2 linked regions of the Oryzias latipes genome follow. The protein of the gene in region 2 interacts with the protein of the main gene of each other region in a biochemical or structural test. Links are inferred from orthologs where the notes say so. Each region holds a gene or a part of one and is shown on either strand. Other genes may lie near its edges.

Region 1 (4,883 bases), on a different chromosome or scaffold from region 2:
ATGTTGCTGAGAGTAAACTCATGTCTGATTTGAAGCAGCAACAGGAACTAAAATGTGCATTGGAAGAAATGCTCTTCGTCTTTTTTTTACGTTGCTTGCTTGGAAAAGAAAACGAAAGCCACACCTTGCTTTAAATGTTAAATGAAAGTGCTTTCGTTGCAACTGAAACAATGAATGCAATGTTTTCTGAGGTCTTTTTGAAGACGGCCAGGCCGTCACGCACGCAGACACGGGCTCTGCAGCGTCACTGCTCGCGCTAGATTCTGGATTTGACAGGCAGCACTGCTGATCAGACAGGACAAAACCCAAGATGGCTTCTTATTGAGCAGAAAGGACGTTAAAGGTCCAAATACAGACTTTAGATTTACACGGGTAGTTCCGACCCTTCTAGTCGTGAAATGGACATAAACATGTAAGAAGTCCTCCACTTTAAAGACCCGCTCCAATGTTTTTATCATGTTCCTGTAGCATTTTTCTCATGATAGTGGACATATGTAAAGAAAATTAAGCTTGAAATTGCATTTCTGAGGATTTTTTCTTCAGCATGTTGTGAATGAGGAGCAGATGAAAAAATGCCCTTTAATAGAGACCATATTTGTGATGTAGAAAACAAACTGGGTGGTCCACAAGTTTCCTGCTCCGCTCCATTCTGATGCATCCACTGGGAGACAAACAGATACAGGGACGTCTTTGTTTTCCTCGTCTGAGCAGGAATCTGGATAGCTTCAATAGTGCTCCCCATTTTTGTAGCACCAGTAGTGTTAGGTTGGGGGTGTGAGGGGCTGTAAGCTAGCAGGAGAGCATATCAAATGGATGACAGGAAATAAGGGGTGGGCTTACTGCGTTCCAACAGCCCCGCCCACAACTTAGAGGCCAATTTCTAATGAACTACTGCAACAACAGTTATTTTATTAGTTTAGGGAAAACGCGGCATAGATAAAAAAAAAACACTGGGAACGCTTTAAAAGAGATCAAAAAATGATTAGAGTTGGACTTTAAAGATGTTTCCATATGTAAAAAAACATATAAAAGGATTCTTCTAATCTCACCACACTTCCAAATTCTTGTAAATATGCTTAAAGTCCCACTTCGATCATCAGCAACCCTTGTGCTATCCTAGGCACTTTAACATTGGGAATTGGGTCATCCAGACCCACTAGAAGCTTTTTTCTTCAATGGTTTGTGAACCTCACTGGTGTCCATGAAATCTTTCCACCTTTATCCACCTTTGTCATGGTAGGAATAACACGTTAATGTAAAGGTGGGGTCATCTAAGATAGCACAAGGGGTAAAGATGATGCATGCATCAGAATGGAGCGGGGCAGGGAGCTTGTGGCCCACCATTGTAGGTCCTATGTCACAAGCTTTTGTTTCTGCTCGTGATCCAATATGAATGAAGAAATGCTCAGATTTTACGCTAAACTTTCTTTAGCAAATGCGACAAGAACATGTTTCATGGAGGCGGGTCTTTCAGTGAGCTGAATTTGGTTTGAGTGACTGAAGGCACAGGTCCTGTTCCAGTCAGCATCAGTGTTGATCAGCAAATCTCCATCAGGTTGATGTTCCAAAAGTGAAAGGAAGAAAGAGGATTACACATTTGGGTTTCTTCAAAGGATGGAGAGACGTGAGCAGCAGAACTAGATGACCTCTGCTCTGTTTATTTTGTGTGGCCGGGCTGCAGAAAGCAACACAACTATCTGTCCTACTTCTTTTGACTACCAGCGACCCAAAGAAGACTGAGTCCACAACCACGTCTCAATAATTCAAGAGCAAAGGAAACCTAATCCCCTCTCATCGTGGCCATGTTGACAAATAACAGGACGGTGTCTTTAATAAAACCACGAACCCGATGACCAGGCGAGATTTCAGAAGGAACGGTGGACGGAGCCGACCGCGTCCGCTTCAGGGGGAGCTCGGAGAAACGAGGAGTCCGGGAGCCGGAATGTAAACAGTTATTTCTGGCATTCTCCCGCTAAGCCGGTTCCTTAAATAAAAGGTTACATCACGCATGCACCGCAAAAGCGCACCGGCCGGGCTGTAGTGTGCCGACAGCTGTGTAAGAGGACTAAAACATTGCAAGTATTTCTTTACGATTATCACAAGAAAGGCGAACAATATAAACGGACGTCTAAAAAAAAACAAAAACAGAACTGATCGCCTCTTTTGCAGGAATTTAGATGGAGGAAACCCACCCATCGTTTGGACTCGTGGGTAGATTATATAGTGGCCGTGGCTACTCTTTCAAATATCAGACAATACACATGCTTACATAAACGCATTTGAGGCGTTCAAACGGGGTTGTTGAATCGTAGCCACACAGCCTCCTCCTGACTAAACTTTATTTCTGAGGGGGGAAAACGTACCCCTCCCCGGTTAGCCTGCCAAACAAGACAAGTGCAAGAAGAAGAATTGTAATTGAAGATGGAAACAGAGGAGATGAGCATTTGTCAGAGACTAGACGAAACCGTTACGTTTGGCTAGCAAGTGGCTACCGAAGCCAGGCTAATCAGCGGCTAACGTTTGCTAAAGCTAGTAGTGTGCTAGAGTATCGTTTTACCGCTCACCTCTGACGGCCTCGGAGATGTTTCCATCGTCCCGCCGGGGAGTTTTCCAGCGAACATCGACTTGTGTGTGGGATGGAAGTTTCCAGGAAAAGTACTGCTCAACTTTTTACCAGCATCACAGGTGTAAAAAAAAAAAATTCAGTGTAGAATCCCAGACCGGACCACAAGCGACAAAGTAATTTCTCCACCACTTACAACAACAACGTCAAACTAGCGATTAACCCCGCCCCCAACTGATAATCACCCAATCCCGCTGACGCGTCCGTTTGATTGACGTCAATAATATCCAATGAGTGTTCAGCCTTAAGGACGGAGTGAAACGTTAGTCTGCCGATTGGCTGCGTGACAAATAAAGGGACAGGGCTTTTGTCCGAGCAGCCTATGAACGCAGCACTGAAGGCAGAGTGACAGGTGCTTCGGGGTTCACGGGGGCGTCGCCATTCACAGGATGAGATCATCCCGGATGTAAACTATGCAATTGAAAAAAAGAAACCACACTGGAAATGTATTTCCACTTTAAAACTTTAATACAGTTCAAGCCAATAAAAAAATGGAATAAAATCCAGGTCACAAAGAGCAAACTAGGAAAAAAAAATTGACATGGTGCAACAAAAGTTGGCCAAAAGATGCACAAAAACCCAGTTTTTATCCAATTTTAAACAAATCATCCTGGTGTTTGCTTCCACGTGGATGTAAAGCACAGATACTAAGAAACATACTACAATAACTTTGAACTTTCCATTTGAAGATGTGACAAAAAACAAAACAAAACAAAAACTTTCCAACTATCACGCGCCAAAGATGGTGTTTAACGCCGCCTCCTGTCGGGACTTCTGCTGCGTCTCCGCCCACCGGTCCTGAAATAAACAGGGAATAACAGAAATGTTTACAACCTTTGAGGTACAATAACATTTAGACGTATATAATCAAACACCAAAACTTAAAGATATCAGAAAAAATAACCTGGAACATAATAAAACCCACTAGACTTCAACAAAAAAGTCAAACAGAACTGTACAAGAAAAACTGTACTGTGTGTGTTACTACAACCACAGCCAAATACATAAAAATGCACATGAATACCTTCTCTTGTTCTTGGGGGGCCCCCTGACAAATGCCCAGTCTACACTGACAGGCTGGCCCATCAGATCCTGAGCGTTGAGCCCCTCCATGGCCGCCTGGGCCTCTTTGTACGTCTCATACTCCACCAGTGCGTAGCCCTGAGAACAGGTGGATGCAAATCACATCTGTTTTTATTGTTGTGATTTTACACAGCTAACATGAAAACATTTGAATCTACCAGAGTTTAAAACAAATGTTTTGCAAAAAAAAAATACTACAATTGATTAGCTTGTTATGTTTAACTTTACTTTAAAGATGCAAATTTTATTAGGACAAAAAGTTCATTCTGTTTATAAAACACGAAAATGAACAATTCCTTCCTAAGGGTTGATTTATTTTAACAGCAAAGACGTGCTGCCCCCTTGTGGCTAAGAAACATGCAGCACAATAGACGCCACTGACGATGCAACTTTCCCCAAGCGTTTTACAGTCAGACACTATTTATCCCAAATTTACTGAACGTGCTATGTCAGTTTCTAAATCAAAAACATACACAGTCATTCTTATCAAAGTATCTTGACTAAGAATCAAATGAACACAAACATACATTTATTTTATTTAAGATCTTTTATCAATGACTGTTCAAAACCAGAGATGCATTGAACAGAGCTTGTATGTTATTTACTGATCAATAGTTGTCCCGTATCTTTCATATTGTGCAGATATTTGGGGAAATGCAGGAGAAACTATCATTGAATCATTATTTAGTTTATGGCTGCGCAATGTGAGGAAAACTCGTGATTTGCGATACAAGTGATTAATATTGCGATGACGATTTAACTTGCGATACACGAACAACCAAAACCATGATTTCCATTTCACTGCAACAGTTTATTTTACATTTAACATAACTGAAATCCTATTTACTCCAAATGACCCTTGTCTACATAGCAGGTGAGCATCTAACATAAAAGGGCCCCATCCCATTGGTCAATCTTAACGCATAAAAGGATTTATTTGATTTGTTACTTCAAGCTGCCATAATATTGTTTTAGCACATTTAAGGTTACCATTTATCAGACATTTAGCCAACCTTTAGCAAAGGGGCATTGCAAAATTTGTTATTGCGTCAGCGATCTGGTTAGCGCTCGTGCCTCACAACAAGAAGGTTCCTGGTTCAGGTCCCGGCTGGGGGATCTGAACCAGAACCCCAATGGGGGACCTTTCTGTGTGGAGTTTGCATGTTTTCCCCGTGCC
Region 2 (4,739 bases):
AGGGCCGTGAAGCCATGGAGTGGGTGATCAGGCAACTCAATGCAGAGATCGAGGAGCTGGCAGCCACAGCGCGTGGGACCTTACGGGCCCCGATGGCTGCAGCAGTCACAGAGAAATGACACACACTTCCTGTTTTGTTTTTGTTAGTTCCGTCTAAGTTGCACTGCTTATCTATACAACCAGTCCTTCGTTGGGCTGCTCTGGTGCTCTTGGTTTTCTGTATTACTCGAGCGGCACACTTTGCCATCTATATTCTATCTATTCAGTGAGATGACAGTGATTTTAGGATCAAGTGGATGTGACGCGCTCAGGAAAGATGGAAACACTACCTGTCTTTGTGTGCTCAGAGTTTGACTTTAAAGGCACCAGATATGGAAGAAAAGTGCCAAAGTTGAGACGGTTGTACTTTCAGATCTCATGTTCTGTTAAAAAAAAAAAAAAAACTGTTCCTCAACACAGCCGACTGCACTCACACTAACTTAGGAAGGTAGATGTATAAATGTAAGCAGTTCAAAGGAAACAGGTGGAGAACTCTACTCCATCTATCTAAGCGATCCGAACTTTCAGGGCCAGTTTGATTTCTTTATTAGAACTATTTCTGTAATGTTTCTCTGCGGGACCTCAGCAATACCAACACTGTCTCTTTATTTTTGTTTTTTAGGCAAAGCCTGAATGAATGTACTGTTGTATAAAGACTTATTGTATTATTTAAGTTAAAAGAAGGGATCAATGTTCTCGCCATATTTATATTTTTATAGTAAGACCTTGTCAGATTCTGCCTTTCTGTCAATGTAAATGTGTCGTCTGTCAACTTTAAGTTAAATGCAGAAATTGAACGTTTAACATCCAGTCGGCGGTCTTTCAGTTTAAAGGTCGCTGCAGGTGCTGCACAATGAAGCCGCTGTAACTGTATGAACTGTTCTATGGTATTGTAGACGCCTTCTTTGATACAATATTTCTAAAACTTTAAAGAATGTATTTATTTAGAAAAACTGTTTATTTCTTGCTAGTCTTTACATCAAAAAAGAATGTACAACTAAAGAAATGTTACCTGTGAACAGGAGAAAAAAAATGAATATAAGAATAAAAGTAAAATATTTTAACTTAAAAGCTTCCCCTCAATATTTTATTTTCCATGAGAGTTCTGTGGGTTTTGCTTTAAATATTTTCATAATAAAATATAACTGAGAAAACAAACACTTGGGACTAAAAATTTTAACCACTTATTGAAAGACGTTTTCTATTATGGAAAAGAGAGACTAAACTAATAGAGACTAAACTAATTTTTGTGAGCTAGTTGGGTACTTTTGAATTAAAAATCAAATTATATTCGTTCATCTGAAGGCCTCAAGAATGGGGGAGATGTAGTTACTCATTATAAACACAAGGGGCCGCAAGTGTCTTAAAAAACAAAATAAAAAAGTATTTAGTTAGCCCATGCGTCATCATTATCCTAATCAATTTTATGTGAGTAACCAAAGAAAACCTTGGACGGGTGTTGAATTATAACCCCCCCCCCCCCTCCCTTTTTTTTGGCGCAGAATGAGCTTGACCAACCATTTACTTTGGTCTGTTAAACTTCTCCCCTCGTGTTTTTTTCTTTCTAAATAGCTATTACCGTTTTGAGATAGTTTTAATTTTATCTTTTTTGCGTTTATTTGTTTGTTTTCGTAAATTGTTTAAACTGACCGAACTGAACCTGCGCTCTGCCATCTAGTGCTTTGGAACTCCAATTACCCATGACGTTCCTGCCGCCCATTCGATACATTGTATTAGCCAATAGGAAACCGAAATTGGGCATTCTGTCAGCCAATCAGACCAGCTGATTTTTTTTAAAGGTTAAAACAGGGACGTTTGAAATTTCTAATCAGCGTTTCAGGAAAAGAATCGTGTGGTCACAGACATCTCTGTAGTTTAAACCTTTTAGGTGTTTTGAACTAGTTTTGCCGCATATATTTATTTGCTTTCAGTCCAAACAAGTTGTCTGTTCGTAACGTTTCACTGGACTTTGCGTTTATATTTAGACAAAAGGAATTATCTTTCGTTAGCTAGCTTTCGTAGCATCTACGTGGGCATGGTTTTTTTCTTCTTGAATGTATTGGACTGATTAATTCTGGATATTTTAACGTGCCGTGGTTGCTGTATATCATTGTGCAGTAGTACATTTGGGTAAGTTATGTCAGACGTTGCATTAAAAATAGTTTGTATGATAGTTGCTAAGCTAACAGAAGCACTTGTTCATTAACGTTAGCTAGCCTCTGGAGAAGAGAACATCAGCTCTTTTAACTTGACTTAAAGTATTTACTTTTATAAATGTTTTACCTTTACGTGCATAGTTTGTTCACTAAGATTATATTTGATCATTGTCTGTGTAAGTACTACAGTTAGCATTGCGGACCTAAGCCTATAATTTCCTCGTGTTTTCATCTGATACGCTATTTGAATTATATACTTATAATAATATAAACTTTTTCCTTCAGGAAATGGATCCTTCTCCCTCACTCAAGGTGACAAAGAGTGTGAAACTGCAAAAGCCTGAAATAAAGCAGGTGAAGTCAGACTGATTTTCTTTTTTTAAGTTTAAATGTCTAACTTTTTTATGCCCTTCACTGCATTTTCATATATAGTATAGTAATTAGGGATTGATTTATATTCAATGTTGGAAAATACCATTTGGATTGAGAAATATAAATGACCAAGTGACATCACAGCGGACAACGCACGTGATCAAGCCATCATTACAAAATGTGTGGAAACACTTTGGATTTAGCAAAAACATGATTATACGGTGTGATAGAACCTTCTAATACTGTTCCATATATATTATTTTTATGTGTATCTCTGAGTCACACTGGTTGAATTTTGGTTAAAGATGTCTGGGATCCATTGTAGGTCAGTGAAACAGATCGAATCATTCAAATCAAACAAGAATGAACTATGAATCTACAACCCCTAATGGTAATATAGGTTAGAAAGTAATACTGATGTAGCAATATGTAAAGCTGCATTTCCTTGAATTAAATGTTAAAATTTCTATTTGCTGGTCTCTTAATTGCAGTCCGGCAGTGATGGACCACGACGAATTCCTGTGTCTCAACAGCATCAAATGGTTCCCAAGGCAATAGTCACACCCACCTCGCATCAGCGAGTTCTCAGTGTGTCAAATGGACCTCAGCGTATCCAGCGACCTGTTAGTCATCAGAAACCGGTATCTCAAGTCGCTTTTACCAACAAGTCCTCACATTCTGGCGATCAGAATGTGAATCCAGCTACTCTGAATGCACATCATGCTCCACCGTCTAAACCTACGTCCCAGCAAAACCAACCAAAGACTCAGGTTCTCGGTGCAAATCCAGATTTGGCCAAGCCACCGTCGGAACCCATAAAAGCAGACAAGCAACAGAGTAGGTTATGCCACTGAATTAAACACATTTCTCACGTTTAAAAATAAGTTATTTATACATATATATTATATTTTATCAGGCAAGCTCTCAAGAACTGAGCAGGGCTCTACATCCAAGTATGTCAAGTACAGACTATTTTTTATCATGCATGTATAAGCCTGAAAATGTTCTCTGGAAGGCTGTAACCAGACTGTTGTGCTCATACAGGAAGCGATGGAGCCTAGAAGACTTTGACATTGGTCGTCCTTTAGGAAAGGGAAAGTTCGGCAACGTCTACCTCGCCCGAGAGCGACAGACCAAGTTCATCTTGGCTCTGAAGGTTCTTTTCAAGAAGCAACTGGAGAGGGCTGGGGTGGAGCATCAGTTGAGACGAGAGGTGGAAATCCAGTCACATCTCAGGTAATTCTGGCTAACCTGATCTCATCCCAAACAAGTATTTGCAGACACAAATCTCAACCTGATTATGATTTTGGGGCTGATCCCATCTAGTGTTTGTACCTTACAATCATTGACTGACAAACTCCAGTACAGCAAACAGATTCACAGTCAAAATTGCAAAAACAATATTGCTGTCATTTACATAACTGTTTATAGAGAAAGCTTATACAATGTGGGGGTGACGCAAAATCCAATACTACTCATTCAGGAGATTCCGACTTTGAGAGAGAACTTTTTAAAATGGGTTATGATGGCGTTACTATGGAAGCTTGTTAGATTTAAAAAAAAAAAAAACAGGAGATCTTCGTTCCAAGTCTTTTCGTGCTTTTTGTTCTACATAAGCAAAGAAGTCTAAGCAGCCCGGGCTCTAACCTCATCTGCTCATGAAAACTATAGGATGAGCTGCAATTAGAAGTAGAAAAAGTCTCATAGACATGATCTGTTTGTGTTTGTCACAATATCACCAGTCTGTTTTCTTCTTCCTACTTATTCACAAATGTTACAAAGCAAAATGTTGGGTAAGTTTCAAATATTAACCAGTAGGAACTGTTTGTTTCTTTTGTTTGAGTCAATCTCAACGACAATAATAGGCGCAAAGCCCGTGGTTGACCTGCTGGAGGCTCCCGTTGTGGGTGTGGTCGACTTCACCATAATTCTTATGATTTTTGCTATGAGTTTTGTTTCAGAATTTGCTCTTAATATTTTTCTGAACTACTGGTATAACAGTTGTAGTCCTAAAGCGAGGAGCTAAGGACGCGTCTACGACTGACATTAGGGATTTTAGTGAAGGTTGTTTAAACAATAATGTGTTCTTGTGATGTTTTTGAGATTATTGAGGGTGAGTTGTGAGAAATTGATTTTCGGGGTCGTTTTCGTGTACTTCATTGACGGTCCCTG

What was found. The genes of interacting proteins can lie anywhere in the genome.
Region 1: of the proteins of aurka (region 2) and otud7b, one has a biochemical effect on the other in vitro, tested with the Homo sapiens proteins (2 studies listed by BioGRID, with this or other methods). The link is inferred for Oryzias latipes from reciprocal best matches to the Homo sapiens genes AURKA and OTUD7B.

Annotation. Positions count from the first base shown.
Region 1 is NC_019874.2:29,131,280-29,136,162, reverse strand, and holds the start of otud7b (OTU domain-containing protein 7B), read right to left. Parts: upstream 3,042-4,883; 5' UTR 2,565-3,041; intron 1-2,564. Other genes in the region: rbm8a (RNA-binding protein 8A), read right to left, coding at 3,373-3,421, 3,648-3,784. UniProt on the Homo sapiens protein: Negative regulator of the non-canonical NF-kappa-B pathway that acts by mediating deubiquitination of TRAF3, an inhibitor of the NF-kappa-B pathway, thereby acting as a negative regulator of B-cell responses.
Region 2 is NC_019863.2:11,351,669-11,356,407, reverse strand, and holds the start of aurka (aurora kinase A), read left to right. Parts: upstream 1-1,820; 5' UTR 1,821-2,169; intron 2,170-2,480; 5' UTR 2,481-2,483; coding exon 2,484-2,549; intron 2,550-3,058; coding exon 3,059-3,404; intron 3,405-3,483; coding exon 3,484-3,520; intron 3,521-3,611; coding exon 3,612-3,803; intron 3,804-4,739. Other genes in the region: PRELI domain containing protein 3B, read left to right, coding at 3-119. UniProt on the Homo sapiens protein: Mitotic serine/threonine kinase that contributes to the regulation of cell cycle progression.